Lepisosteus oculatus: one gene and its partners. The protein of the gene in region 3 interacts with the protein of the main gene of each other region in a pairwise test. Links are inferred from orthologs where the notes say so. Each region holds a gene or a part of one and is shown on either strand. Other genes may lie near its edges.

Region 1 (7,540 bases), on a different chromosome or scaffold from region 3:
ATGTCCGTGCAGAGCGGGGAGGCCTGGATGAGCGGGTCGTTGGCGATGAACTGGAAGAGGTAGGTCGGGTGGACGTGCCGCAGCCGCACCTTCTGGAACAGGTTGTGGATGGCGCCCTTCCGGGAGAAGGGGTCGTGGTGGATCCAGGCCAACAGGGTCTCGAAAACCTGCTCCTCTTCCGCGCACAGCCGGTCGTCTCCCAGGTAGCCCTCCAGCTCGGACAGGGAGAGCTCTCGGAAGTCCTCCGAGGCGGTCACGTCCGAGAAGCTGCACACCGCCACCTCCCTCGCCTTCGCTCTCAGGCTCTCGCAGTGCAGGATCTCCGACAGCCGGATCATGCTGAGGCAGTTGTCCGGGCTCAGCTGCTCTTGCAGGAATGCGGAGCAGGCGTCGAAAAGCCGGGGGTACTGCAGCATGGACGCTGCCTGCATCAGTGGCAGGACCAGCTCCATAGTGATGACAATGCAACCTGTGTAGACGTAGTCGATGATACTGCTCAGAACATCTGAAGCAATGCCCCTCATGCTTATCTTGGCCTGTTGGCTCTCTTTGAAATCGCCGCAAAACATGGCCCTAAAATAAGGGCTGCCAGAAACCAGAACAATTCTGTGGCAGGGAATTTCTCGGTCACCTGTACACAGAAGTACGTCAGTGAGGATCCTCTCTTGTCTTAAACCGTCCAGCTGTGAGAGAAGATTAGAAGGGTGCTCTTTATCCTTAAAATGAAATGCCTCTGGTATCACGTTTTCCATTCTGAGGAGGAAAAAAAAAGATAATTGCTTGTGTCACTTAAAGATAAGGGTCCCTTTGCTTATGTTTCAGAATTTCAGGCAGTTGGGTTTCATTTGCCTCAAATATTCTGTTTACTCAAAAAGAAAACCGACCTAAGGCTTACACAGAAGGAGTTGAAATATAATACATTCTTTTATGAGTTGAGGCCAAGTGAGTGTAATCACGGTGCTTTTGTATAACAACATCCATTAAGTGAAGGCACAAGCAGTGCAGTGTTAAATTTTAAATTTTATTTTGGCATTCATATTAAATGTCAGATTCATCATCATGACCTTGCTATTCCTTCCAAGGTCATCTGTTTCCAGGCCTCACACTGGCTTAGCGGTCTGTGAGTCTTTCCCAATTATTCAACTTTCATGCTGTCCTTGAGTGAACAATATCAACACTCTGCTGTCTAGTCCGTCTCTCCTAAATCATCTGAGCACATCTGTCTGACATTTGGCTCAATCACTTCACGTAAGCTGGCTAAATCCTGTTACTTCATGTCTCATCAGTTACTCAAGCCTTTATAAGTTTGTCCTTGAAAGGTCCAGTGTTAAAAGTGAGCATGTCACAGAACTGCTATCACCAGCAGTTTGCTTGTGCTTTATCCCTCTGGGACAGTAATGTAATACAAGACGGGACTAAAACAGTCTCATCTGTATTGTTATTTTTGTATATTCACTATTTTTATTAAAGATTAGCATTTGACTTTTCAGGGATCACTTAATGACGTAAATAAAAGAAGGCGTTAATAACAGGCAATGGTTGTTCCACTCCATTGTTAAACGTCAGGGATATCGTTATCAATTGTGAGAGTTTTATTCTCCTCCCATCTGGTAATAATCATTCCAAGAATTGCGGAATAATGTAACTGTCTGGTGGAGAGATCCAAGATGGCTTCCCTGAGCATGCTCAGTAGGTCTGCTGAAGCCACTTCTCTGGGATTGCATGGTGTTTGCTATTGTGATGATCAATTTAATAACTTCCGCACTAGAGCTAGCACACATGGATCGTTAACAGAAAAGTTCTATGTTAAAAGGGTTATTAGATAAATGGGGGATAATGCTTCTTACATTCTTATGTTCTTCATATTCTTCAAGTTATTTAGTTGCAGAAATGAAATGAAAATCATCACATTGTTTGTGCAGTCACACAAGCCCCGGAAATGAATAACAAGAACAACAAATAAATACAAACCCAGCATGGAATTAATGTGTGTAAAATAAGCAACTCCCTCCACCTACTGGTTGCAGTTCTAACCTGTACCTTCTCAGTTCCTGTAGCTTGTAAATTTTTGTGAATTAATCTTTAAGATTTCTTTCCTTTACACAGCCTAAAAAAGTCAAATATTGAGTTTTTAATTGTCTGTTGTTTTTATGACATTTACCTCATAAACACACATGCCAGTGAAGTTTTTAATATACAGTACTGTACACATGGGAGACTTGAAATATCCTGTGCTTTATATTGCATGGAAATAGCAGGGGAGCTCGAGTGTCGTTGCTACCAGATGTTCATTTTAGTTTAGTGATACTGCAGCTTACAGTAGCAGATGTAATTCTTCCTTGTTCATGTGTTCATGCTTTGTCTTTTATACAAAAACTGTGGGGAAAACTGAGCGTTGTTCTGCCCTAAAATGTTGGCTGTTTGGGGACGATGAGCGAAAGGAAGTTTATAGACATACACTCAAAGAGTTTCCTTACATGAATATCTTTACTACAGTATGATTTTTTTGTGCCTTAAAAGGAAGCAGTAGAATAATTGGGTAATGCAAACTTTAGGCATTTTTTTCAATTCTTATTTAAACACAAACCACAGAAGGAATCTGGAACCATCCTGAAGGCTGTCCAGACCAATTAACACAGCGCAACAGAGTTCATAGCTATTAATATTCATTATATAATTAGATTTCTCAACAAAGTAAATATACCTGCATTTGCCAATGGAAAAAAATAAATTAAGGAGTGAGTGGAAATTACTGATCAATTCCATGTTCTTACCTAGAAGCCTATCCTACTGCTGAACGTTTTTCGGCACTTGACTAGATATGAAGACACTTTGAGGGACATATTACAAAGCTTTTAGCAGAAAAAAATTGCGTCTGTCACCAACTAAAGGTCTAAAACAAAGCAGCTCCGAGTTTCGTTCAGCTATGCTTGCTCTACACCTCCGATTCGGAAGAGCTTCGTCAGCTTTTACCTGGATCGTCTCCTGGCCTCTCCTTCTCTTCAACACGTCCAGATCTGATTCCACTTGTGGAAAGTTCGTCGGACAAAAGGAAACCACCACCACCACAACAACAACAACAACAACAACCCCAAAAAACAAAACACCCAACCACCCTCACATTTTTATGTTAACGTCTGGAGCAGGCCATGCAGAGCGGCCGTGTTTATGAAGAAGGTGCCGCGATGTTTGTGATTAGGGGCCAGGCTCTTACCACGAGGCCACTGTATACATTCCGGCGCTAAGAATACCGCTGCGAGCGCGTGCCAGCGAGGTCACATGACCCCACCCCCTCTTGTTTTTGCGACTGGAACTCGTTGCTCCTCGACAGAAGCTTTCGGTCATGCTTGCCCGTGTTTACAGGGGTATAAACAGACACTCCAGTTATCCGAGGAGCTGGCCTGGGGCTTGGAAACTACGCGGCACTCCCCACCGGCTTTTGCAACTGGGGGGGGTGTGCAGACTGTCTGTAAACAGAGCCTAAAGTTCAGCGTGAGACGACTGGACAGCTGTGCCAGGCTTGACTGCCCTGGGTTACCTCTTCACAGGAGGCCGGGGGAGGAAGGGGGGGATCTCTGCTCGTTCAGCTGGTATTGCAGGGTAGTGTTCAGGAGGGTTGTGGGTTCAAGTCCCAGATGGGAAGCTGCTGTTGTACCCTTCAGTTAGTTGTTTCATGCTAGGAAAATACCCACCTGTTTAAATGGGCACCAATGTGAGTTGTTTTGGGACAAAACCAAAAGCCAAATACATTAATTATTGGACTAAACTGGAATATGGGAATAATGATGTGACAAAGATATTAAGACTCCAGATCCCCAGGGGCTATAGTCCTGCAGTTTTACTGATACTGTATGTTTTGTTATTTCACCCAGTTCTTATGCGTCTTTGCTTGACTATAACCTGTGTTTCTCTGGACTCCTAGTAAAAACGGCTTGTGAAGAGATTTCACCACATTCAATAAGAATGATTTATACTGTGCCAGTGATGCAGAAGGATATATCTGATAGGCTTCAGAGCATTTTAGATAGAGATTTCCGTCTAATTTTCATAAGTGTTCTTCACTGCAGTGTTTGCCACAGCTTGAGCATATCAACAAAATAGTCTTGCAGAACATAGAGAGAGAGAGCATTTCCCAGAAAAGCAGACGTGAAAAAACATAAAAATACCCTGTCAATCGATGAAAATGAATTATCGGGACATTTAGGACTATTTTAACTTCAATATATAAATCAATTATCAGAAAAATGTAAATGCCACCAGTAAAAGACTTTGCGAATTGTATAGCTGTACAGTTGATGTGTGATATTTATTCCCGTTAGCTTCAATCGAAATACTCTATTTGTATTTATTGTGGATACATACGCCCCCTGGCGTTTACCGTTTTTTTTTTTGGTTAAAGTCTAATCAATGAAGATTTGCTTTTTATTTTCATATTTCGGTACATAATATAAACGTTAATAATTACGAATCGGGGGGAGGAACTCAAAAAACGTATTTTATTTCAAATGCATGTATAGTTCCAAAATACTGAGGTATTCTTAAATAAAATCAAGCAGAATTTTAGTCACTTTTATTCAACGTAAACCTTACTTTCAGGACATAATCATATAAAGCCGTAATAACACACATGTGAAACGCAAACGCTAAGCTCTGTGAAGAAAACAGTTTTTCTTCTGAAAGTTGCTGGAGACAAACACCGCTCCACAGATTCACCTTTTTTGTTTTGCTACCATAGATATTCCCGACACGAGCCAAGAGGGCGGAAATGACGAAAGCAGCGGTGACGACCGTTTCCTTGTAAATATAATAAGGAAGTTCGATTAAAGAAAGAACAGCCTAAAATCGGGACGGGGTAAATATGGAACTTTAAGACAGTATTTGCTTTTAATTTTTAAAGCCGATGGGGGTTGAGTAATATTAGTGTTACCCAAACGCCCTCGCCGATTTACAAGCCTTGTGTTTTACTGAGACCATGAATACAGACGTGGAATTTCACATCAGGCAGAACTACCCGTGGAACAAACTGCCCACTAATGTCAAACAGGTACAGAATCTTTGACACTCCATCCATAGGAAGGGGAAGCGTGTGTGGGGGTTGATCCAGACAGTACGAAGATAAACTAAACGCGAGGTGCCCGCACTCGTTGAAAGAACTGTCTGCTTCGTGACTGAGTGATTTTGCTTTTCATGTGGAAAAAAAAACAACAACATTAACAGATTCGTTCAGGGTGACCCGTCGGATGTCATCCCTTGTCGCTCTTTGGTTTGCTTATGTTTTGAATCAGCGCGATGCATGGAGTCTTCATCCCAGATCCTTCCTGTTTGTCTGAAACGCGCATCGTTGCCTAATGTAATGTAATAGAGGGTTTAGCGGCGATTCAGAAGGATCAGTTTCGAAAGAACATGCGGTCTATTTGCTCCGTGTTTTCCGTTTCCAATTCCAAAACTAGATTTATAATCCATACCACAAAAAAGGATAACACCGTTCAGTTTAAAGGATGAAGTAAAGAAATGCTTAGGTTATCTTCAGACAGAAAACCTTTGCCTTAATCTTTGCGTCTCCTGAGATTTCTGGGAGTTGAGTGCCATTTAAAATACGTTTAAATCTTTAAAGAGGAATTTAATTATACAGCGCATTTACATCGTATTAGAATAGAACAGGCATCCATTTATTTTGGGCGAAGAAATGTGCTTTTTTATTTGTTACCTCCGCTTTATTATGGCGATACAAAAAAATAAGCCATTGAAAACAAGATCATATGACTTAAAGCGTCAAAAAGAAATGAGATAGAGGTCATCGCAAACGTTATTTAACCTTAAGCCTGAACACCTTGCTTTTCGACAGAGTAAATTATATAAGTTTCAATCTTAATTGAAGCATTTTAAAATAAGTTGCGACTTTGTTTGCGATAAACTATTTGTTCATAGATCTTCACCAGACCTTGAACACCCTACAGTACCTAGCCCGCAGACATTCTGCTAATGAGATAGCCCCTGATCAAACATGACGTTGTTGTCTCGTTCTTTAAATTACTTGTTCCTCGTTGTTCTCCACAGAGTCTCGGAAACTCACAGCGAGAGTATGAGAAACATGTCCTTCTTTACAGTATCCGGAACCAGTTGCGGTTCCGAAATAACTTAGGTAAGTTAACTCTATTAGTTTTGAATTTAAAGCTTAGTTTAACAAACAAATGTAATTTTGAGTTACACTACATTTTTACTGTTTGCTTTTAATCTGATTTAACGATAACATTAAATTATTTTAAATGATTTTATTTTAATTATTAAATTAAAATCATTGCATTATTTATTTATTAAATAAAATAATTGATTTTGAACACATCAACCAACGGAAGGTGCTGGATCAGCACTTGGCACCTTGGAAGACCTGAAATGTATCCATCTGCTCTGCAGTGGGTGTCTGTATATTTTTGTCTGTGTGACTATTGGTGCAGTGATCTGAGAGGAATCTACAGATTCTCCAGGAGTTTTCCAACTAGGTTATGTATTTATCTGTATAATTTCAAATATCGTCATGCATCTACTAGTGTCCCCTCATTGCTTCAGGCGATTCAAATGTGTTTCAAATATTTTCATACTGGAGTGCAATTTTTAAATCATTTAATGTACCAAAGTGGCTTTTTATTTTGGATCCTCTAGGCACTTGCTTTCCTTAAGAAAGGGCCAAATGGGTCATAAGCCAGGAGCTCAGCTTAAGCACCCTTTCAGCAGCTTGAGCAAACATTAGAGAAACAAAGCAAAGGCACCAGTAATGAACCTTAACAGCAGAACGATGAGACAAGAGGTTTCCCAAGAACAGGTTTAGAGGCCCTCTATTGTTGTCATTGCTTTCTGTGTTGAGAATGTATATTTTTCTATATTGTCTGGGTGATTAGACTGGATGTCTTTGCACTGGAGATCATAAGGACACTATACAAGATGCGCTCATTTCATTTAGGAAGAGCAGTTTGTCACAATCTCGCTTCGGGACGCAGTTGTCTGGCGAATGATTAAATCGGATGAAATGCTTTGGTGATCCTGACAAAGAAAGGTGTTTAATGTATGTATTTAATGTTTAATGTTTAATGTTAGTATTTAACGGGTTTATACAAATCCTTTGGGTAGCCACTGATGCTGCTGTTGCATGTTGCATACACCTTAAAAAAATGCCCTCCCCCTCTTTTATGCAGTGAGGCATGTGAAGAAAGATGAGCGCAAGTACTACGAAGAGCTCTTGAAGTACAGCCGTGAGCATCTCATGTTGTACCCTTACCATCTGTCTGACATCATGGTCAAGGGCCTGAGGGTTACTCCCTTCTCCTACTATATTGGAATAATGGAGGTAGGTCTGAAAGTGGGTGGGGCTTGGCAGTATTTTAAACAGTAGGGGTTTGGAATACATAACCTCTTCGAAGTGTATCCCCGCTGTATCTCCTCCGTGCAGTCAGTGCAGTTTATATGTGCTGATGCAGTGTAGGAGGCTGAAGCTCATCCCTGCTGCTTTTAATAAGGAGCAATCCTGCCACTCCACAGCATGTAT
Region 2 (8,351 bases), on a different chromosome or scaffold from region 3:
TGGAACCTGAAAGGGAATTTATTCAGGGCGCAGGATAAGAAATGTCTTTACACAAAGAGTGGTGGGTGGCTGAGGCCAATCCAAGAAGAGCTGGAAGAAACTGTGGCTGCAGGGGTCTGTGCCCCGTTCTCCTCTCGTCTTCACCCAGGAGCCCTGCTCTGTGGCTGCAGGGGGGCGTTACTGGACTCCCTCCTCACAGGGGGCCCAGATCCCCGTCCCTGCGCCGCGGCCGCCGAGCCAGCTGGGGACAGTACTGGCTGTTGTAGGGTCTGTCCCTCTCGTCCGGCTCCTGCGCCGCTGACCGCTCCCCCTCGGCCCGGCTCGCCAGCAGGGCCCGAGCCCGGCGCCTCTCCTCCGCCTCCCTCCGCACGCGCTCCTCCCGCAGCCTGTCCAGAGAGCTGAGGGACACAGCGGTCAGCACACTGGACATTTCTCAGACCAGTTATCACATTACTGCAACAAAACACATCCATTGGCGTTACAGAAAAAATAGTCCTGTTGCCTCGTTCGGAGTCTCAGAACGTGGCGCTGGGCTGGGCTGGACTGGGAATCGGGTCTGCTGTGTGATGGCAAGGAGAGGTTGTACACCTCACTGTGTCCACCTGACTCTCACTCCGGTGGGAGCTGCCGATTCTAACCTGACGCATAAGCCCTTACCTCTGCCCGCCCTCCTCCTGCTCTCGCTCCCTCTTCCTGCTCCTCTTCCTCTCCACCCGCCTGCTCTTCGTCTGCAGGGCTCGGTCCACGTCTCTCAGGGGGTCCAGCGCCGCCTTCAGCCTCCGGTCCTTCTTCTCTCGCTCCCCCTCCCCCCGGCCCGCCCCCAGCTCCTCCCCCGGCTCCGCCCCCACCCGCCTCTCCAGGTACCAGGGCGTGGCCTCGCTGCCGGGGGCGGGGCCCAGCGACACCAGCAGGCCAATGGCGCGCTCCTGGCGCTCCTGCGGGAAGACGGACAGGTTGGCGGCCGGGACAGAGGCGGGGCGCTCGGACCGGGCCGACGGAGCCGCGGCGCCGGACACACCTTCTCCTCCCTCTTCTCCCGCAGGTACTCCTCGTTCCCTCGCTTCTCCGCCCCCTCCTCCGGGGGGAAGAGGTCGAGGTGCCCCACCAGCGGCGCCTGTCCTTCGTGCCCCTCCTCGCCCTGGGGCAGCGCAGCTCGAGACTTCCTCCTCAGGAGCTCCGTCCGGGCCTGAGAGACACAGAGCTGTCAGCAGGGGGCGCCACCAGCAGGCCCCCCGACTATACTGGGGGACAGGACAGTTCGGACCACGAGACGCTGCACTGGGTTGTATGTGTCCCCACTGTCTGTGTGGGTCTCACCCCCAAGACAAAGACACCCGGGTTAAACTGGTTTCTAGGAAGACTGTCCCCAGTGCGAGCTGGGGTGAGTGTGTGTGTCAGTACGAGAGAGTGTGCGCATGCGTGTGCCTGCCCCATGATGATACCCCGCCTGGCTCCCGCTGCATGCTGGGACGGGCCGGCCCCTACAGCGAGGGGCGGCTGTTGTCATGGTTACCTCCTGCTCCGCGCGCTCGACCCTGCGGCGCAGCTCCTGCTCCTCCTCGGCGGCGCGCGCCTCGTCCCGCCGCACGCGGGCCACGTTGTCCTTGTTGCGCACGTGCCAGCTCTTCTTGGGCAGAATATTCATGATTCCGCGACTTTTAATCTCCTTCACAAGCAGAACCAGCTGCGGCAGCGTCCGCCGCAGCACTCGGGTGCACACGAGCCCCTTCCAGCTCATTCACGGAGAACACGAACACGAGGGTTTACCCACCTGCCAACAGCATGGGGAAATCGCAATACAAAAACATTTCTGCAGACAACACTGAACTCGAAACAGAAACAAACCGGTGATTTAATAGCAGGAGAGTGGCTAGGAACCTTTCACGGAGCCCCAGCGAACGGCTGGATCGCCGCAACGTCAGACCACAGCTCTCACAGCCCCAACGCAATCTGAGCGCAATAAAAGGTTTTCTCACACACTTCCCTGCTCCCTCACGAGTCCGCGAGTCCCGGCCGCTCGTAAGTCTCACGGAATGAGCTCAAAACACTTGATACAAATTCATATCAGCCGCTCACCGAGGGAATCCTCCATGTTGTAAACACAGGAGCGGTGACGCAGTGTCCGCCGAAACCACAGGCACTTCCTGTCGTATCAGGCGCTGCAATTGGTCCACACCTCTTCGTCCCGCCTTCGCTTCTCTTCCTTCCGATTGGTTCAGGTTGACGTCAATCACTCGTCGCCAGTGGAGACGCCGTCGGTCTGTAGCGCGGGTCCGCCTATTTCCTTGGTGCACACGAAATCTTTCTTTTTACCCTAACCAACGTCTTAAAGTGATCTAATCACATATTTAAAACATGGGATACACTCCTACCGAACAAACCTCGGCAGTGCCAAGGGTCTTCTAGTCGGGAAAGACGCAAAGCGTTTAAAGAACGTGGGTTTCCTCTAGGCGGCATTTCCGTGTTTTTTGTGCCGCGGGGCTTCGATTGGATGACATTATGTCAAGAGCACCGCCTCCCCTCCCCGGTTCTGTCCTGTGATTGGTTGTCTTCTCCGTCACGCAGCGCTCAGTTCCGCGCCTCTCCCCTTAGCCCCACCTTCCGCCTTTCCCGATTGGTCTACGACAACCGCGCTCGCCTCCCGATTGGCCAGGCCTGTCCGGCGGCAACACCCCGCCCCCCCTTGACCCCGCCCCCCGTCGGGTTCCGCTTTGCAATTGGAGCCGCCGCCGACACCGCTGCAAGGTGCGTATATCTCACTTTCAAAGTTTCTCTCAATAAAACAAGGCAAAACACACTCAACAGCGCAGCTACATATCGCTTTGTGCGCTTGCAGCTACAGATCCGCGTAGAAGCGGCTGTGTGGTTTTCGCTCAGCTCAGGTGATGGATTAGGCGCCGCTGTGCATCGGAAAACCACGGTTTTACAGGAAACCGGCGATTCGTGCAGATCGGAGAATATTTCGGGAGTAAGGCACTGCGATTCAAAATCGAAATCAAACCGATCGCGGGGATTTTAAACGCCCCGGAGATGTTAATTATTTTATTCAGGAGTGATGTTTTAAAAGCATATTTACGGATTTCCGCTTTTATTTTCCCGATCAGAAACTCTTTCCTACCTGCACTTGAAAGCCAAACTGCGCTCAAAACGCTCCGCCAGAACTTCTGTATTCTGTACGTTTTTTTAATGCATACAGTGTATACGTATTTTGTATTTTTCTAAACAGATACAAAAAAAGCTTGCATTTCCAACATCTAGTAAATGATACAAACGCAGCGCTCGACTTGGCCTCGACTGGAACATGTCTTGTTTTAGCTGCTCAGCTCTGCGCCAGTGAAAGGCTGCGCTGCTCGGAGCCGCGCCGACCCGGGGGCTCCGCCTCTCTCGGTTTCGACCGCCTCCAGCTGGAAAAATAAAACCCAGTAAAAGTCGGTAACGTTGCACACATTGAGCCCCAAACCCGATTTGCGCTGAATCCAGAGCCCAAACCGCGAACGGCGAGATGAGATTTTTTATTATTATTATGAATCCTTACCGCTCTGTCATGTTATCCCTGGGGAGCTCACCATAAAAATAATAATAATTATAATAATAATTATTATTATTCATTTAATTATAGCCACACGCCAAACAAAACCCAGGTTACAGCTCTAAACCGTTTTAATCTCCTGAAGAATCTTTTAGAAACACACGCCATCCACCGTCGTTAAACACGCTGTCAAAGCCCGGAGATCCAGCCTGGGCTGGTCACTCTGCTCACTGGTCACTCCGGTCACTGGTCACTCCGGTCACTGGTCACTCTGCGGCGCCTTCAGACGGCCCAGCGTGCACTGCTCCGGGGCCGCCCAGCTCGGCGATCTGTCTGACCAGGAACTGCTTGTCCTTCCCCTCCTGGTGAGACAGGACCCCTCAGCAGCCGGGACCCCCAAACACCCCCAGCAGTGGGGTAACACTGGGGTGCGGCGGGGGTCTCGCTGGGCTGCGCAGCATCGACACCCACAGGGTCAGAGGTCAGAGCGCAGCTCAGGGCATGCGCATGGGGGTTTGGGGGTACTGGGGTGTTTGTGTACCGAGCGCTGCTGCTCTGCTTGCTCACTCCTGGAGTCGGGGATACAGCAGCGTCGGCAAGCTGGGTCGGAGGTCAGAGGTCAGCAGCAGCCCCTGACACGCCCCTCCTCCGGACTGGTTCACACTTACCAGCTGCATCTGAGCGCGGAGCAGAGAGACACTCTGTCCGTAGACTGAGGCCAGAGCCGCCACATAGCACAGCGCCACACTGAGAGAGAGAGAGACAGGTCAAACAGCACACTGAGAGAGAGACAGGTCACCCAGCGCCACACTGAGAGAGAGAGATAGAGAGAGAGAGAGAGAGACACAGGTCACACAGCACACTGAGAGAGAGAGAGAGACAGGTCACACAGCGCCACACTGAGAGAGAGTGAGACAGGTCACACAGCGCCACACTGAGAGAGAGAGACAGGTCACACAGCGCCACACTGAGAGAGAGAGAGAGAGACAGGTCACACAGCACACTGAAAGAGAGAGACAGGTCACACAGCACACTGAGAGAGAGAGACAGGTCACACAGCACAACACTGAGAGAGAGAGACAGGTCACACAGCACACTGAGAGAGAGAGACAGGTCACACAGCACACTGAGAGAGAGAGACAGGTCACACAGCACACTGAGAGAGGGAGACAGGTCACACAGCACTGATTCACAGCACACTGAGAGAGAGACAGGTCACACAGCACACTGAGAGAGGGAGACAGGTCACACAGCACTGATTCACAGCACACTGAGAGAGAGACAGGTCACACAGCACACTGAGAGAGAGAGAGACAGGTCACATAGCACACAGAGAGAGAGAGACAGATAGAGACAGGTTACACAGCACTGATCCACAGCACACTGAGAGAGAGAGAGACAGGACAGACAGTCTCAGATGGACACGTGAACAGGCGTCTCACCAGAGAACGACGAAGAGAGGCACAGCGAACGCCTGAGAGCCCAGGAACCGCAGGAAATCTTGTGCAGACGGAGGAAGAGAGGCGTTCGACACAGAGACCACCGCCCACATCTGAGGGAGAGAGCGGAAAGGACCACAGGCCCAGGAGGGGTGGATCCTGCCAGAGGGGAAGAGACAACTGACCGACTGGACACTACAGCACAGAGACACTGACTGACTGACTGGACACTACAGCACAGAGACCCTGACTGACTGGACACTACAGCACAGAGACACTGACTGACTGACTGGACACTACAGCACAGTGACACTGACTGACTGGACACTACAGCACAGTGACCCTGACTGACTGACTGGACACTACAGCACAGAGACACTGACTGACTGACTGGACACTACAGCACAGTGACCCTGACTGACTGACTGGACACTACAGCACAGTGACCCTGACTGACTGGACACTACAGCACAGTGACCCTGACTGACTGACTGGGCACCACAGCACAGAGACACTGACTGACTGTTTCATTATTATTACTCATGTTTCTGTTTTGCTGGTGGTGCGTTACAAAGCTCTGCTGTCCTCCTGGGTCTCTCAGCACGATGTACCCAGACTGTCACGAAGCACTATGGGAAGTTAAGTTATTCATAGTGTGGGATGACCCTGGAACACGAGGCGCAGTCCAGTCCAGGAACTACAGTTCCCATGAGGCCCTGCAGTGGGAGGCTCAGCCACTGGTCAGGTGCCCAGAGGGTTATGGGGGATGGAGCCAGATAGAGGCTGGAGACTGGAGCCCGGGGACTACAGCCCCCATAGTGCTCTGCAGAGTGTGCTGTGTTTTGCTGGCTGGGTGTTTGGCCCTGAAGGGACCTGGGTGTTGTAGTTTCAGCCCTTGGACGGGGGTCACTCACGCGGCCAGGCCAAACACCAGGGGCACGCAGGCCAGCACCAGTCCCAGCAGCAGCACCAGCAGGAAGAAGAGGTTGGAGCTGGAGGAGCGGAAAGTCCGAGAGGCTGGACGACAGTTCTGGAACAGAGTGACCTGACAGAGAGACAGAGACTGACTGACTGGACACTACAGCACAGTGACCCTGACTGACCGACTGGACACTACAGCACAGTGACACTGACTGGACACTACAGCACAGAGACACTGACTGACTGACTGGACACTACAGCACAGAGACACTGACTGACTGAACACTATAGTACAGTACTGTCTCTGTGTCTCAGTACAGACCTGGTACAGCACGTATCTCCGTGTCTCAGTACAGACCCAGTAGAACAGTCTGTTACAGTAGGAGCTACAGTTCAAGTACAGTAGAACAGTCTGTTACAATAGGAGCTACAGTCCCAGTGGAGTAGAACAGTCTGTTACAATAGGAGCTACAGTCCCAGTACAGTAGAACAGTCTGTTACAATAAGAGCTGTTACACAGCTCAGTCCCAGTGAAGAAGAGATGATGAACAGCTCTACCTTCTTGCAGTAGAAGAAAATGACGAATTTGACAGTGTTGATGAGTGGCAGCAGGGGGCAGAAGAGAGCACCCGCCCACACCACTGTCTGCCCGTACACCAGGCTGAGGACATTCTGGGGCACCACAAACTCCTGACGTCCCAGCCACTGAGCAAGCTTGCAAGAGCAGTGATCCACAATCATCCTGAAGAGGCAGAGAGATTGCGACACCATAGAGACACTCTTCACACACAGTGATTAATACAGACACTAATACAGACCCCAGAGACACTCCTCACACACAGAGATTAATACAGACCCAAGAGACACTCCTCACACACAGAGATTAATACAGACCCTAATACAGACCCCAGAGACACTCCTCACACACAGAGATTAATACAGACCCTAATACAGACCCCAGAGACACTCCTCACACACAGAGATTAATACAGACCCCAGAGACACTCATCACACACAGAGATTAATACAGACCCCAGAGACACTCCTCACACACAGAGATTAATACAGACCCTCATACAGACCTCAGAGTCACTTCTCACACAGAGATTTTAATACAGACCCTCATACAGACCTCAGAGTCACTTCTCACACAGAGATTTTAATACAGACCCTAATACAGACCTCAGAGTCACTTCTCACACACAGAAATTAATACAGACCCCAGATACACTCCTCACACAGTGATGAATTAATACCCCAGAGACACTCCTCACACACCGAGATTAATACAGACCCCAGAGACACTCCTCACACACAGAGATTAATAAAGCCCCAGAGACACTCCTCACACACAGAGATGAATTAATACCCCAGAGACACTCCTTACACACATAGATTAATACAGACCCTAATACAGACCCCAGAGACACTCCTCACACACAGAGATTAATTCAGACCCTTATACAGACCCCAGAGAAACTCCTCACACACAGAGATTAATACAAACCCCAGAGACACTTCTCACACAAAGAGATTAATACAGACCCCAGAAGCACTCCTTAAACAGAGAGATTGATACAGACCCCAGAGACACTCCTCACACACAGGGATAAATACAGACCCTAATACAGATCTCAGAGTCACTCCTCACACACAGATTAATACAGAGCCCAGAGACACACCTCACACACAGATATTAATACAGACCCTCATACAGACCCCAGAGACATTCCTCACACAGAGATTAATACAGACCCCAGAGACACTCCTCACACACAGAGATTAATACAGACCCCAGAGACACTCCTCACACACAGATATTAATACAGACCCTCATACAGACCCCAGAGACACTCATCACACAGAGATTTTAATACAGACCCTAATACAGACCTCAGAGTCACTTCTCACACACAGAGATTAATACAGACCCCAGAGACACTCCTCACACAGAGAGATGAATTAATACCCTAGAGACACTCCTCACACACAGAGATTAATACAGACCCCAGAGACACTCCTCACACACAGAGAGTAATAAAGCCCCAGAGACACTCCTCACACACAGAGATGAATTAATACCCCAGAGACACTCCTCACACACAGAGATTAATACAGACCCCAGAGACACTCCTCACACACAGAGATTAATACAGACCCTTATACAGACCCCAGAGACACTCCTCACACACCGAGATTAATACAGACCCTCATACAGACCCCAGAGACACTCCTCACACACAGAGATTAATACAAACCCCAGAGACACTTCTCACACACAGAGATTAAAACAGACCCCAGAGACACTCCTTACACAGAGAGATTAATACAGACCCCAGAAACACTCCTCACACACAAGGATAAATACAGACCCTAATACAGACCTCAGAGTCATTCCTCACACACAGATTAATACAGACCCCAGAGACACTCCTCACACACAGATATTAATACAGACTCTA
Region 3 (8,113 bases):
AGTGCAACTGTCAGGTTTTATCTTTAACGTTTTTGAAAACTTTGGTGCAGCATCTTAATCCAGAAATATCAACATGAAGGGTATGTTTAAGGCACGACATTTCACTGGGCTGAGTAGACTTCAGTACTGATGTCTTTTTCATTAAAAAAAATGAAAATATGATATATAAGTATATAACATGTTTGTGTAAGGTGTCTGTGACATGCTAATTATGAACAGATCTCACATTGTCACTTACTATTATAAATTAGGGTGACTAATGTTCTAAATCAAGCATTATGCCATGTCTTATCAATGTAATAATGTAAATCAAATGACATGTTAAATATAAAACAAAATGCCTCTATGGTCATCTGAGCATGGTCATATGGGTTCTTCTTTCCTGGCACAATTTTATATTTTATAGGTAAAATAAGTTGAAGACAAACCTAAAAGAAAGATAATGCCTATAAAGCTAACACATCAACACAAATTGTTTTGTGTTTTTTCAAATTTGTAACAGACTAGTCGATGAGTCAAGGTCTTGTACAATCCAAAGATTCCATCACTTGACCCCTGAAACACAGACCTATCCTTGAGACATAGCACATTGGGAAGTAATGCTGGTTTGTGTATAACCCTCCACAGGACAACCTGCTATCCTGTAATAGCTAAATTACAAAAATTATTGCACTGAACCTTTGATTAGAATATACCCACTTAGTATTGAAATACCTCTGGTCTCTTCCGAGCTCAAAAATAACTAGGTTTTCAATTTTCAAACAGGAGGAGTTTCGGTCTGTTTGAATGTGAAAGTCACTCACAGTGTCAAGTTTCTTCATCTCAGGGGGTGACAGTAAGCATTATGGAAGACCCTACATCTGATGTACGAAGCTGGTCTTGTTGGAAAACCTGGACCAGCTGTTCATCTTTTAACTTGCTATTTGAGTTACCTTGCTTAGACATCTTTCACAAAGGTCACTGCTAAACTCCCACTCCCAGGAAAGAAGTTATGTATATGTGGGTGTAGATTGTCAGCATCGATTTTCTGTGCCTAGCCCACTACAGCTACTTAATTCATTCCAGTTTACAGTTCTGCCATAGTGATACTGGGTTATTGTAGGCCAACTAATCCCTCCAACTGCCCTGTAAGTCTTCACCCTGCATAATTCGGCAGACAGACTGGAGCCAATCAACAGGTGGCATATGCAAACTATTATTTAACCTTAGTTATTAGCCTCTATTTGCTAGATGGTAAAGATGTTCAATGGCGAGGTAAATATCCATATTGGTATAACTATCACACAACCCTATTATCACAAATCTTCACAGAAAATAATTAGAAAAAAATCTATGAAATACAGTAAATCTATATGAAATTGCACAGGAATTAGAAGAATTAGTAAACAAAAGTGAGAAGTATAATGTTATTCTGATCTGCTTTAACTCAAAATTTTAAAATACATATATTTGATAACAAAATTATTACATCTAATACTGTTGTCACGCCTATTAAAAATAGAGGTAAGCTGACTCTATAAAATAGAATAATATAATAATTTGCCAGTTTTGCAGCTGTGACAACACCCCCTGTGTAAACTGTTGCTCGGCATTAAATGTGCTGTTGTACCTAACACAGATTCACATTAAGTATGTTGAGCCCTACTACTGCCAGTGCGGCACCATTCAATAAACTCTTGTGAAGACAAAGACAAATTTCCTTATACTGTAGGTAAGATATATGTTCTAGGCATGTTAAAGCAATTTATGAAAAGGTGCATTCTCAAATGATGCTATGTAAATAATGTACATATTGATTTATAATAGCAAATTGATAGGTGAAAGGAAATGAACACTCTGAAATACCCACAAAAGCACTACACAGCCCTTAGAATAAAATAGTTTAGTGATCTGAAAGGAAGGCGGAAACATGATGTGAGGCCTGACAGTAATTTGTGTTCAAGAACATCTTGAGTGTTCCTTTCTGTTCTAGACTTTGAAAGTAGTCTTACCAAAAACTATATCATGAGGGAAACCAAGAACCCAGCAGGTATCTAAACTTTGTGAGACAACATACACAAATAAAAGGAAAGACTCGACCATGAACTGCTACCATGAGGCATGCAAATGGAAATGAAGTATTTATCATTCTGGAGTGCTGAAGGAAACTGAAAAAAGACCATCTTAGTTCAACCTTTAATCTCCAATAGGACAAAAAGGTTGCAAAAAAATCAGATAAGCTAGTTCAAACAGTGTATTGTGCTCTAACCCGAATTTCCTTTTCTGTATTTTGTTTGTTGAACTTCAGCCTCCTCGGCTCTTAAGTTATCATACGGGAGACTGTGTTGACAGTATGTTTACATTCTTCACAGACAGTTTGTCCTCCCGTCATCCACTGAGCCAAAAATACAAAACCCAGCTCTCTCAACTCCTTCTGTGATAGAAAATACAGATGATTTGTGCGATACTGTCAAATAAAAGTTCAACTGAAGCCCAAGAGACCTCAAAGAGGTCAAGGGAAGCTTGTCTTTACCATCATTTTGGCACCCACTGTCTTTAATACTATTACATTATGTTGAAAATCCTAAGTCACTTACACAAAAAAAAAGAAACCCTTACCTGGAAGACATCATTTGCACACTTCCTACACAGGTTGTGCTGGCAGGGCAGTATCACCACAGGTTTGGTGAACATTTCCAAGCAGATGGGGCAAATCAATTGCTTCTCCAAGCTGTCCATTGTGTTCGAGTCCCCCAGCAATGGTTTGTAGCCCAGCGCAAAGTTCATCCCCTCAAGAGTGCACGGCCAACTCTCTGAAAATCGTTAAATGTAACTATCGACCACTTCCCTCCTATTTCTTTCTTGCCCTCAGTCTTCTGCTCTGTTCCTCAACGATGCCTTCAACAGAATGGTTCTGTTATTTTAGCAACACTTTGTTCTGGCTAGAGTTACTTTTTCTCTAAACCTCACACTACACAGGGACTGGGATGTCCCCTCTGGCCAATGGCACTCAGATGTGGGGGAGAACAGCATTCCTTGTTCCATTTTTAACTTCTGAAATGTGATAAGGGGAATGACTGACAGACCATTTGTCAGGCCTGGATCAGATGTTTCTCAGTCACGGAGCCATGAGGGACTGCTGGAAATGCCAGCACCAACGACATGGAGTATTTAAACCGTAAACACTGGGAGGAAGACAAGAGGACATGATCAGAGATGCCAAATGAAACCTTGGCCTTTAACAATTCAATCACCTTGTTCTCTGCAACAAATCTCTGCAGTATTGTATTTCAGTACGTAATTAAAAACTATATTTCACAGCTTCTTCCCAGCAGTCAAAAACATTTCTACTTTAAAGCTGACCTTAGAAGCTTTGGCTGTGGTTATAATCTTATCATGGTTTTCAGCTCAGCCCTGAGAATTGAACAAAATATAAACAAGTCAGTGCAAGATGACAGCCTTTATGCTGTTGAGTGATTTAACAAGTTTACAAAAGGTGGATTATAACAGAAAATATTATCCCTCCAACCCCCTTTTAATTAAAAAAAACTAGTAAAACATTGCATTGCTTATTGGAAATTAAAACATTTACAAGTGACAATTCCAAAAAATATCTCCAAGACGTCACAGAAATGTCTTTATCCATTTTTCATTTCAGATTACGTACGGTCACATGTCCAAGACTTGTTATATTTATCTTCAAATTTTGACCTTGCAAATCATTTTAAAATGGTAATTAATACAATCGTTATGACTCCAAAATTAATGACTCATCATTTGCCAGATCTTATGGAACACAGCCAATCCGATTTGGAACAACTCCGTCTTCACACCCAGCAGATCCTAACGTCATTTGAGTCTTTCATCAGAATTGCAATTTTCAAAGCTCTCACTTTGAGGTGTACAACTGATGACTAACAGTCATTATTAATAGAGATGTTGTCTCTTTCTGTGTGTGGAGAGGGACTATTACTAAAACTACACTCCAAGAGTTTCAACTCCGAAAGGAAGATTAAGAAAAATTCAATCAAAAGAGAGAAAATCTTATTACCGTACTACTACTTAGCCTCCTGAAAGCAGAACTCTGAAGACACCCACTAAGTAACGAAAGAAAAAATGAGCCACACCAAACTTGATATAAACCCCACCTCCCCTCCCTTTATTTGGTGGTATAAATATACATGTTTGCAAGTCAGGTCTGTATAAGGACATTTGGAACAATAAGAAAAAGAAAAATAAGGGAACAATAATCAGCGAGACCAAAAAAAACAAGTATTTTACACAACATTTGTGAAGAAACCTAAAACAAACAGACTTCTCTGCCAGCATAACCAACATTACCATAGATACTCCTTATTTCTTAAGCCTCAAACAACAATTCCAATTTTTTGGCTACTGTCAGCTCTCCAAAACTGCCAATAAACATAATACATTCATTAAAATTAAACTTTATATATAAACTAAAAAGTAAACATTAAAATGGAAAGAATTCTTAAAATATCTGCCTTGACATCTTGTGGAGATGAATCTGTCATTTTCTAACTTAATTATTGGTAGTTAAGATTGCTAGTTGCCAGTACAAAACCGTGATTTCCACAAAAATATTGATTGATTGCTGACTGTTAATTGTATGATTTATTTGCAAACAGATTGCCATAACCTCCGTTACATAGATTTAAACAGAAACATTGTTAAATTTCAAAATTGAATAAAGCTAACTAGTGCTTGAACCTCGGTCCCAACTGTAAATACTGTACTTAAAGCAAAACCTTCTAAGCCACCAGTGAAATTATCTATTTTACTTTTTTAAACAGTTGTACACGACCATATTAAAAATTTGTTAACTAGAATGAACCTTTTCCCGAGAAAGAGGCCCAAGACTAACATCTAGTGCAGCTGGTATTTTAATATTTATTTTTGACAGCAGTCCCTGCCTTTAAACATAGTTTAAGATGGTGCATTTTTAAAACGGATTTCAGGAGAAGAAATCTGTGAATTATGAGATAAGTGGATTTTGCACTTTGTGGTTTTACAAGTTATTTAATTGATGCACTCATTCTGTTAACACTGATACTTCTGTATTTCACTAAAGTGCTGCATCATCAGTCACAAATCAATAACAAAATCTAATGACACAAAACCAATTGGCATTTTACTATAAATGAAAAAAGTATAAATGCTGTTATTTACAGGTTTCAAGGTGGGTAGTCAATTCAAAATTAAATTACGAAATCAGGGCACTTTATTATTGCCATTTTCAACTGTGCTCTGTGGCACAATATAAAGTGGCCTTATAGACTAGATACATGTATACTAAATTGCTTATTTGGGATAAGTTAGATGATGGAAACACATTTAAAACAAAAAAAATCAAAATGACCAACATTTAAAATCTAGGTTTCCTAATCCATGATCATCACTAAATAAAACCATGAAATAGTTTTGGGGACAGATGATGGGCAAACCACAGAATTAGAGAAACCACATTGCACCACACAACATACAGCTGAAAAATACAAAAAGACAGCCAACAACAGTATTTGGCAAACATTCAGTTTGTTAAAAATGCTGCAATGACACCAAAACCCAGAAATTTACTGAATGTGCTCAGCTCCCCAAAGTACAAAAAAAGTAATGGAAAACTATACTTATTAAATATCCAAACTATGAATAAGCTGGAGGACTTAGAAGGATTTGCACACAGTCTTGTGTTTAGAGTTCAAGCAATAAAAATGTCTAGCACTGAAAAATAGTTATCTACCTCGCTCATCTCATACTCACAATAGTTTAAGGACAGAGACAAAAACATTTAGACCATTTATGTGAAGAAAATGGCCTTCTTGTTACAACAGTAGACCAGTGTTAAATTATCAGCAAGTAGCACAGAAAGCAAAAAAAACATACATTTGGCATAGCAGTCTTTTATGCTGCATATATTGTCCGAGTGAAGCTTCCTGACTACACAGCATTACTTTAAAGAAAAGTACAAAAGGCTTGAAACTCTTTTGATTGATCCAGAATCCAGAAACAAAGTTCCTTCAGTAGCAGCACTCCAAGAGGTTGTGGACATAAAGTGGTCAGCACACATAACCCCGTCCTGCAGATGACTATGAGCTTGGCGTGACTCATATCTAACATACCAAAATCTTCCTTCTTGCTAGTCAAAGGCTAATGGAGCCTGAGGCCACTCTGTCGCCTCTGTACAGCACCAATACCAGAGCCCAGAAAGCCATCCTCTCAGTCACTCCAAAAACTACACTTTCCACAGCTACTACACAAAGGCTGACTATCCACCCAATACAACTAATTAGAAACAATGTAAATACACATTCCAGCACATCGCTGGTAATCCTTTCCATTAATTATGATGCCTTTTTGGTTTCCAAAAAAAAGGCCCTGTAGATTTTCATTTTGGTAGAAAAGAACCCAGAACCATTTCTTTAGGACTCTGAAATCTCACAAAAAAAATCTATTTTAATTTTATCCAATTTCCATTAAAATCAAGTACTTTAATCCTACACGGAGGGCCTGACAGGTACGAGATCTCTGTACCAGAAGCAGGAGGCCGTTTTATAATGCTCTCTTCACTCAGGAACTGGCACAGATCTCGGTGTCTTAAACCAAGGTGGTTATTTGATCAAAAACTACAATTATGTTTTGATTTTGGTCAAGCATTTATATTTTAGCATAGCACCTACATATACCTTTCGGTTTTGGGCTACAAAATGTAATGAACGGTCAAAGTAGAATTAAAGTGCTACTTTTTTCATTTAAAAAAAAGGTTGACTGGGTGATTTCTGCTTTTTATTAGGAAAAAAAAAGCAACACAACCTTGAGCTTGTAAACACTTAAACCCTCTTAAGTGAGACTCCAGAGAACTACAGACACGGCAAAGATTCTTGTTACATGGCACAAGGTCAAAACGTACAACAGAGGACATGCATCAGGTACATGCACTTAAGACACGAGCACATCCACCTATCCATGCAACAGTATCAGGATGGCACTTGGACAAAGTTTTGACCTGATAAACTGAAACTCTTTCACATCTTGACTGGGCTGTTTTGGTACAGTAGTAATTCGCTTTCCAATACCAGAGCAACATTACACTTTGATGGTGGCAATAATTGTTCCCCAACACATTTTTTTTTCTTTGTCAAGAGTGCCACATTATGCTTCATATCACATGCCATTAACTTTCCTAACCATAAACGTGTGGGAAATCACATAGGTATTGGCATCTGCGAACGTCAAGGTAGGAAGTCTTTCGAAGGGCTGGTGCTGCTAGTTAGTTCTCGGTCACGTAGCTGAGCTTTTGGCCTGTGGAAAGCTGGGTGGACTCTGAAGTGCAGATTGTGGAATGTGGCTGAATCACAATTGGAGGTCTTGTATCTGAAAAGAAAGACAAGTTTAGATGGCATATTTCACCATCTGAGCAAAGACGGACAGCTCTCAACTACACTCCTATCTTTCGCAACAATCATGTCTGTCTTCCACAGTTCTGTCCAAAATTGCTTTTTATCCTTGATATTGATATGAGGTTTTCAGCTTACAGAATACAGTTGAAGTAAGGATTTAACAAATCACTATGACTAGAAATCACTCCAAACCTTCCTTCTAAATCGTGTTGATTTAACACAGGCTGAAAAGGGATGACTCATCTTGACCAAGTTCAACCCAAATAATTCACTTTGAACCAGTGGAACAGCAGAGGAAACAAGGATGCAAATCAAATCAGTTGCATCAAAAACATGTACTTCACTGTCATTTTCTACTGAAAAAGCTTGCTTCAGAACACATAAGCACTGAGGAGCAAACCTACCTCCCCTGAAACAGCTCACCCATGTGTTCACTTGAGTCCTTTCCAGGGAAGCACGGAATAAAATGAGAAGAGTATATTTCATGACACTATTTTGAAAACCCCATTTCAAAACTAAAGTCCAGTGCTCCTACAAACCAAGGTACGGTTAAAGATGAACACTGCCTTTATCTTTCCTCAAGCAAAAGAGGTTTACAATGGAAACCTTTTAAAAGAAGGTGGTTGATACAGTATAGCAATGTTACAACATGGTATTTTCTCTCTCATATTCAGCAAAGACAGTTGTCTCCAATAAATCCCAATAAGTCTTTTAAT
Region 4 (7,244 bases), on a different chromosome or scaffold from region 3:
TGTCAGACAGCTTGCGTATGTGTCCGTCACTTACCTGTAAGGTGTAATATCCAGCGTGGTTCGTGAGGATTCGGTATGTGTAAACCACTTTCTTCTTGCTGGACAGGAAACAAAAAGACAGAGTTTCAGCAGCGGGAACGTCTTCATGTGTGAGCTCGCCAGCACGCTGTGATAGCTCCCCAATCTATCCTCCTCAGACTGGCTTCACGATCAACAAATGTGCCATGTTTTCTAATAAAACATGTTCCAGATCCTGTCACCATTCATTCCCCACGACAGGGCTGGTTCCCAGTCCTGGTCCCAGTGCCCCACACACATCTGCTGGTTTTGTTCCAGTCGAGCCTTCAGCTCCACAATCAAGCCCTTCATTGACTTGCTAATAATCAGATGAATCAGATTTATCATCAGATTCATGTGAACTGTTTGCTCCCAGCTCTTAGACATGTTGGAACTTTAACCTTTGTATTTTGTAAGTGAAATAAAATCCCATATGTGTGACTCCAAACAAAGTGCAGATATTCAATTGAAGCAATTTCTTAGATCCAGTGAGGCTTCAATGATCCCATGAAGGTGGGTTGGAATGAAAACCAGCAGGTGTCACCAGGATCAGGACTGGGAACCACTGCTCTAAACAGTGCCACACGCCACAGTCATCGCAATTTAAGCACAAAAAGTGAGTTTCGAGATTCAGAAGTAAACTAATCAAACCTGGATGGCATGACGGCCACATAACACCTGCACACACTGCAGATCACAATCCCAAGATTTCCCTGGGCCTGGACGGGTCTTTGCTGGGGAGGATCTTTAATTAAAGCATTATCACTGTAACTAGAGAGCTTAGCAACACCAAGCAGAATTTCAAACCCCAGAAGGAATTGATCACCATTCGTGAAATGAACACAGCTTTGAAGCTGTGTAACGTCTTTCTTTAAATCACCTGATTTCTAGAAGAGCAACGCTGTGAAAATGACCCGTGACAAACAAAGCCAAGGTGTGAGTACAGAGCAGTTTCTCACAGCGTGCAACATGCTTGTTTTCAGTATAGAAGGAGCTCTCTCCCTGAGTGAGCTGCAGGGGCACAGGCTGTGCTCAATCTACCTTCCCCAGAGCTACTGAGGCCAAAATCCCAGCAGCCTGGATTCACGCTGTGCCAAACCAGAGCACTTGAAGATTACAAATCAAAATTTGCTCCCAGAAAAATGCTTTCACAAAAAGGGAAAAAGGGAAAGACATAGAACAGTGCAAACTACAAAACACGCATTCCACGGATGGAGGAAACAGGTGGACACAGAAGCTCTGAACATCTAGGAATGTTGGTGTCTGTCAGTCCTGATCTAGGGATTCTGTGTGTTTCAGATCAGGACCCAGCCTTCCTGGCAGGCTACAATGTTCATACATTACACCTCTTAAAAAACTTTTTTTCCCCCAAGAAGGACCTGAATAATGATACCTTCCTGTGTGATGTTGTGTTCACAAACTTGCAGTCAGAATTTATAGGAAAGAGATCAGCAATTTTGAAATTCTCTGTGCTTCTCGGTGCATCTTCATTCGGAAACATCTACAGTTAGCCATCTTTTTGGGCATTTTGGATTCATCAAGGTGATATAAAAATATATTGGAAGTTCTTGTCCATTAGTATTAGTATTTAGTATTACCTAAAACGTCATGAAAGACACAAAAAATAAAAGACGGATTTTCTCAAGAAGAGTGCTTTAGAAGTGTTTAGTGCTGAACCTGAGGAATGACAGAATAATCCAATCTTATTAAAGAGTGAATCTGCTCTGGCCCTGTTAATAGGGACTTTGTTGGGTACATTTTGTGTTCATACATAGTGTTTGAGAAAAAAAGAATACAATAATTAAGAAAAAATAATAGTGTAACGCTTACGGCCGACAGGTACTGTGTAAGAGCCGGCGTACCAGAGCAGGTGGCGTTACAATACCATTTGTATCTGTGCCTTTGTATCTGACTTTTAAACTTCTCAGATAACAAAGGAGCCTTCCAAAAGAATTTATTTAAAGATTTTATTCCATAGCACTGATTTTTTTCTTTTTAAAAAAGCTCTTCAGTACAAACATTCAGTTTGTAGGATGTCTGCGTGTTCTGTACATCAAGCGCAGGTACCGAACACTTGTTCCATAAAATCTCTCTACATCTCTCTGCTTCAATGCGAGTATATCCGTGATTTTTTTTATTCTGAAAATGTGGAACAAATCATTCAAGCCTACCAGCACTTCTTAAGTGGCTAATTGTAAATCAGAACGTAGGAACAGTCCGACTCTGACAGGTTTCTCCCCCGTCGCGGTGTGTACTTACAAGACACAGAGGCACAGAGCCCCCGAAATCGTTTCGCTGTCGCGGATCAGGAAGGCTCCGTCCTTGCCTTTCTTGGAGAGCAGTTCCTCGCAGGTCTGCCTGCTGATGCTCCCGTGATACACCGGGCAGTCCATCGCCCCGTACACCTGCATGCCAGCCGCGCTGCAGCGCTGCAAGTCGAACTGTGGCATCATCATTGTGCTAGTGCGCTTCTGGTCAGGGGTTTTCACACAGGAAGTCGCCCGTTTCAGCGCTCAGCAATAAGGGATAGGTTTGAGTTACTTTACCACAAGTCGCAGAGGCTGGACAGCTTTCATTTGTGAAACCGTGATGTTGTTTTTTTTTTTTTTTCTCTCTCTCTCTAGACAACAGAAACATAAGCACTCGTTATTTTCTGGTTCAAACGGAAGTTCCGACAATGATAGTTCAGATCTTGCTCTACATCTGGTCATGTAAGCTTCAATGAAAATAAAGGGTAATTAAGTACTAAAATTTAGGGAGCAGCATTTTAAGTAGGGGGTTTGGCTTGTTGAGAGTTAAATGTCCTTAGTATTAAAAGTATTTCACATACAGATGCAATTGTCTGAGTATTAGATGCAAAACTTCTGTCTCCTGCTTCGTTGCTTCAGTTTCCTGGGTTTGATTCTGGGGTTGTATGATTTACATTTAAAAGTTAATAATAAGGCGACAAAGCAATTCACTCAAGCTGCCTGGAAGCCATCACTGCGCCCCCTGCTGTCTGAAACCAGCCCGTACACCAGCCTAGTCTGGCCCGCTGCTGCAGTCCGCTATTCATGGGGAAACAGGGAAAGGCACAACAGTGGTCTGGCAAGATGTTATTGTCAAAGCAGTCAAAGGTTGTTGTTATTTTCCTAATCGTGACCTACAAGAGTCGTTGCTTCTTTTGTATAATGTACACTGCTTTAAAACAACAACAACATGTAGCTTCGATTCTGCGAGGCTTGACTCTGTATCTTTACATACGGATGTCACCAACTGCTGCGTTTTTTTTTTCTAAATGTCATCCAGCGGCTGCGAAGTGGCAGAACTGAATTTTTTTTTAATGTGGGGAAAAAAAGTTTCCAGAGCCCAGAGCGGCTCAGACGATGCCCCGGGGCTCCGCGGCTCCAGGTGTCCCTTTTGAAAATGACTTCAAGAAAGTTCACCTGAACACAAAAAAACGAACAGTGTCTTGCATTAAGGCAATTACAGGAACATTTAAACGCCATTAAGCTATAAAGACCTCACCATGAGGTTTTCCATCTAGACGTCTATGATTCAAGGGCGTGTTTACAAACAGCCCGCTGGGGAGTTTTTCCACAGTAAGAGAACCGGCGCCTTGAGATGGGTTTTAAAAGGCTGTGTTGCAAAAGGGCACAGAAAGAAAAGAAAAAAAACACAGCCTCTGAGTAATGAATCAAAGGGCGATGAAGCGGGACACGAATATCTTAGCCGCTGTTTTACCCCCAACAAGAGACAGTTAAAAGTCAAGGCTGTGTCGTACTTTCAGCGCTCTTCCGAGCACCGCACGCGTCCCTCGTGAGCGTGGGTCGCTCGGATCTGCGGTCCTCCTGCGCCATCTCCTGGTGAACATCAGGCAGGGCCACTGGGGAACTCCGTGTCTTCTTCCGATGACGGTCGTGTCCATGATGTACCTTTTTACGATCTTAGCCCGTAGCTCGAGCTACCGCGGTGGATACGTTTCACGTGCTCCAATATTGATCTGTTTTTTTTTTTGCTCTACAGGTGCCCACACAGCGGCGGTATTTAAGAAAGAAAACAGAAAAGTCATCTCTTCAGAAGAGTAAGTACCGCTCTCGCCGTGCATTACGGTTCTACTCTTAGACATCCTAACCTTGTTTGACACGGAGGAGCTCTCTAACCGGCCTCGGCGGTGTGTAGTGTCATCGCGTAAAGCAAAACGGTCCTGCAGAGGAGAGGTTTTTTTTTTTCCCAATGACGTCTGTGTGAGAGGGAGAGAGAAGGGAGGGATGATCTTGAGTTGTCTTAGACCCATAGGTTTTCTAAATTTGATCTAGGGGATAAGTAGTGTAATTTCGGACTAAGGAGATTAACGTGAGCAAAGCCCGTTTGCCCGGCTGCCGGTGATCCGAGTCCCGTGGAAGGCTGCCTTTGAGTGGAGCCCAGGTGAGGTGCCCCTCGCACCAGGGGAAATGAGTTCCCGGGGTGTCAGTCTCCCTGATCTAGCCTGGATATCGACGTAGTTACCACTACAGGTGTCAGTCATCTCTCCCAGACTGTTTGGCCATTTGGATGAGAAAAATGAAGATCGCGGATAAAGGCAGTGTCTGCTCTAACGCAGACTGGATGGGCTCCCTCTGTCCGGCTTTGTCCTCGATGCCTCTGAAGCACTTAGCGGTACCAGGTACGTACAGCGGGCGGACGTATCTGCCTTAGCCGAACTTCCCCGGCGTGGGGCTGGGCTGGCGGAGTTTTACCCTGCGATCTTTAGAGAGAGCGTTCAAGAAAACGATAACACCCGGAACCGCAGAAGGTCGAGCGATCAGGAGGTCAGACTGACTCACAGTCACTCCGTGTCTGCAGAGCGCACGTTTTGTGAGCGTCTTGACAGAAGTGCGCTTCAGGGAGTTAAAAAAGAGATATGCTTTTAATATAATGACCAAGGCCATTACATGCTCTCATATCATATCCTTTCGAATTCCCTTCACTGCTTTATTCCTTAAGCGTCACGGCGCGCAGTAGCGATACAGGAACACACTTCCAGGCTGTGATTGATCTCCGGACTGACTGTTTTTAATGATAATTAGTTGCATTCGTGCTGTTCTTCTGAACAAAGCGCTCGTCCGCCGCCGAAGCGCAGTGCCACACCGACTCCACAGACACAGCAGGCGAGGCGAAGATGTACCAAACAGCAAATTGCTTTGCCAGCTGCGCCACATCTTAATGGTGCCATATCTTGGCACCTGCCGAACAACAAGGCGTTCGGAGTCACCACGATGGAGCGATGGGTTTGGACGTGACCGCAGGGTCGTGAGAGTATTCAACAACTTACCCTGCCCTGTTGTTAGATTGGTTTCTTTTAAGAAACTGCAGGATCAGACCCGCAGATCAATTGATTACCGACTACCAAATGGTCTGAATGCGGCAAATAGCATAATCTCGTCTGTAGCCCTTCTCATATTGTTACATATATAAGACAGCCGGCACAAGGACTGAAAGTAAAACACGACCACGGGTTTCGATCAGGGCGCAGGTGTTTTCGCTGTGCTGTCCTGCTTGTGCTCTGCTGTCGTGATAAAAGCTGTCCCATGATCTGGGGCTGCTCACAGGCATGTGCAAGAGTTTTACAGTATCGTATCCGGTCACCTGCAAACAGACTCCGTCCAGAAGCTGACAAGGACTCGCGTGTCTCATAGAGATTCACACAGCCTCTCCTGCAGTCTCTTTTACTTTTATTCATTACGAGCCAGTGAAAATGTTACACTTTCTGTAGCGTACTTTCGTCCCCTGCGGGAAGATTAGGCTGTTTCTGGCAGAACGGTGCAGCTTTGCACATCTTTTCTAAGGTCCTGTGAGGTGGCCATGGATTGCAATATGTGTCTTCAGGACCTGGCGTGTGATTTGAGTGCACTGCAGTGGAGATGGGCAGGGCTGACGTACTGTACTGCCTGCACTTAAGGCCATTTCTGTTCTCCGTGCAATTAACCTAGATGCTCATGCGTGAGTGTGCCTGATTGTGGTCGTCCCAAAGGCTTGCTTCTTTTTATCCACAGTCTAAGATCTCTATTGACCTGAATTTGAATGGCTTTCATCACCGGATTGTTCTGTCCTATTTTTGGCCCGATTGTACAATGTACACTGCCGCACAGACACTTTTCTTAGAAAGTCCCATCGCGTCCTGTCGTTTCTCCACGGGTGTGAGCAGTAGGAGCACAGCTGTCTTCTTCCTGTGGCTTGTTTAAAGAGGATTTAAGATGTTAATCTTGCAGGGGGGAGATCTGTCTTGGTGCTGACCCCAATCTTTCAGCCTGTCTCTCCCCTTCCCCCTCTGCACAGCTGTTTTGTTACCTGTAACATGGAAGGTCATGAATCTGCCTCCACCTTGTGTTTTGCAGGGTGCACTACCTTCAAATTTTGTTTAATTTACAAAGGACTAAAACAGGTAATTGTTTTTTAAATCACCCCCTTCTTTCAGGGACACCCAACATAAGAAATGCATTATGCATTGTATCTTAACATATTTCAATAAATAATTGTTTGAGCCCAGTGCAGTTCTGCAGTTTTATTGAATGGCAAATGAGCAATTCTCATTAACATTGCTACACAGTGTCCCCATCTCCCCCGTGTGAGCTTCACTTATTTATGTGGTTGTAATTGCATTTTGAACTCCTGAATGATGGATGTGCTCTTCTGCTGTACTCCTCTGCTTAGGGGTTATTTGCTATGCATGGGTGCTTCAGCTGGTACTTGAGTCATGCATTATAAAAGTTTAATAAAGGCCTAGCAGACCAGTGCAAGACACACAGAATGCAGGGCACAGTCATTAAGAGTTGGTGAAGCAGTACGTTTCACATTTAAAGGTGATAGTGAGAAGTGCAAGGTAAAACAGACAGTACAGTGTCAGGGAAGGTTCCCGTGTTAAAGAGGACACCACACTCCTGAGCTTAACAGGACATCGCTGTTGTGTCCCACCTGTTCCTCTATTATTCCTTTATTTTGTACACAATGTCTCCTTTGCCATGAGAATTGAGGACCCATCATTGACACTCAGTGGGGTAATGTGAGTGAAGAAGCTGGATCAGGGGGATCACAGCAGCATCCCATCTGAAATACGGACCTGTGAGCCTCCAGCCTGCTGCTGCCTACCTCTCTAAGGCCAACCTACTGTAATACAGAATCAGGAAAGATCTCCCTTAAGACTCTAGGAGTCACCCTCGTGATAGAAA

What was found.
Region 1: the proteins of trim54 (region 3) and klhl38a interact in binary tests that used the Homo sapiens proteins (3 or more experiments, as listed by UniProt). The two-hybrid records come from large-scale screens. The link is inferred for Lepisosteus oculatus from reciprocal best matches to the Homo sapiens genes TRIM54 and KLHL38.
Region 2: the proteins of trim54 (region 3) and leng1 interact in binary tests that used the Homo sapiens proteins (3 or more experiments, as listed by UniProt). The two-hybrid records come from large-scale screens. The link is inferred for Lepisosteus oculatus from reciprocal best matches to the Homo sapiens genes TRIM54 and LENG1.
Region 4: the proteins of trim54 (region 3) and SH2 domain-containing protein 1B2 interact in binary tests that used the Homo sapiens proteins (3 or more experiments, as listed by UniProt). The two-hybrid records come from large-scale screens. The link is inferred for Lepisosteus oculatus from reciprocal best matches to the Homo sapiens genes TRIM54 and SH2D1B.

The regions. Positions count from the first base shown.
Region 1 is NC_090705.1:7,784,086-7,791,625, reverse strand, and holds the start of klhl38a (kelch-like protein 38), read right to left. Parts: upstream 3,207-7,540; 5' UTR 2,974-3,206; intron 754-2,973; 5' UTR 753-753; coding exon 1-752. Other genes in the region: protein FAM91A1, read left to right, coding at 4,973-5,044, 6,058-6,142, 7,191-7,342.
Region 2 is NC_090718.1:656,424-664,774, reverse strand, and holds leng1 (leukocyte receptor cluster member 1), read right to left. Parts: upstream 3,207-8,351; 5' UTR 3,119-3,206; intron 3,095-3,118; exon of another isoform or gene 2,077-3,094; intron 1,772-2,076; 5' UTR 1,739-1,771; coding exon 1,514-1,738; intron 1,187-1,513; coding exon 1,019-1,186; intron 936-1,018; coding exon 658-935; intron 399-657; coding exon 194-398; 3' UTR 1-193. Other genes in the region: tmc4 (transmembrane channel-like protein 7), read right to left, coding at 3,796-3,891, 4,198-4,276, 4,972-5,127, 5,883-6,013, 6,448-6,631.
Region 3 is NC_090697.1:57,978,737-57,986,849, forward strand, and holds the start of trim54 (tripartite motif-containing protein 54), read right to left. Parts: upstream 3,008-8,113; 5' UTR 2,767-3,007; coding exon 2,599-2,766; intron 1-2,598. Other genes in the region: dnajc5ga (dnaJ (Hsp40) homolog, subfamily C, member 5 gamma a), read right to left, coding at 7,268-7,371. UniProt on the Homo sapiens protein: May bind and stabilize microtubules during myotubes formation.
Region 4 is NC_090700.1:5,125,647-5,132,890, forward strand, and holds the start of SH2 domain-containing protein 1B2, read right to left. Parts: upstream 3,207-7,244; 5' UTR 2,514-3,206; coding exon 2,317-2,513; intron 99-2,316; coding exon 35-98; intron 1-34. Other genes in the region: plcxd2 (PI-PLC X domain-containing protein 2), read left to right, coding at 4,591-4,702. UniProt on the Homo sapiens protein: Cytoplasmic adapter regulating receptors of the signaling lymphocytic activation molecule (SLAM) family such as CD84, SLAMF1, LY9 and CD244. In SLAM signaling seems to cooperate with SH2D1A/SAP.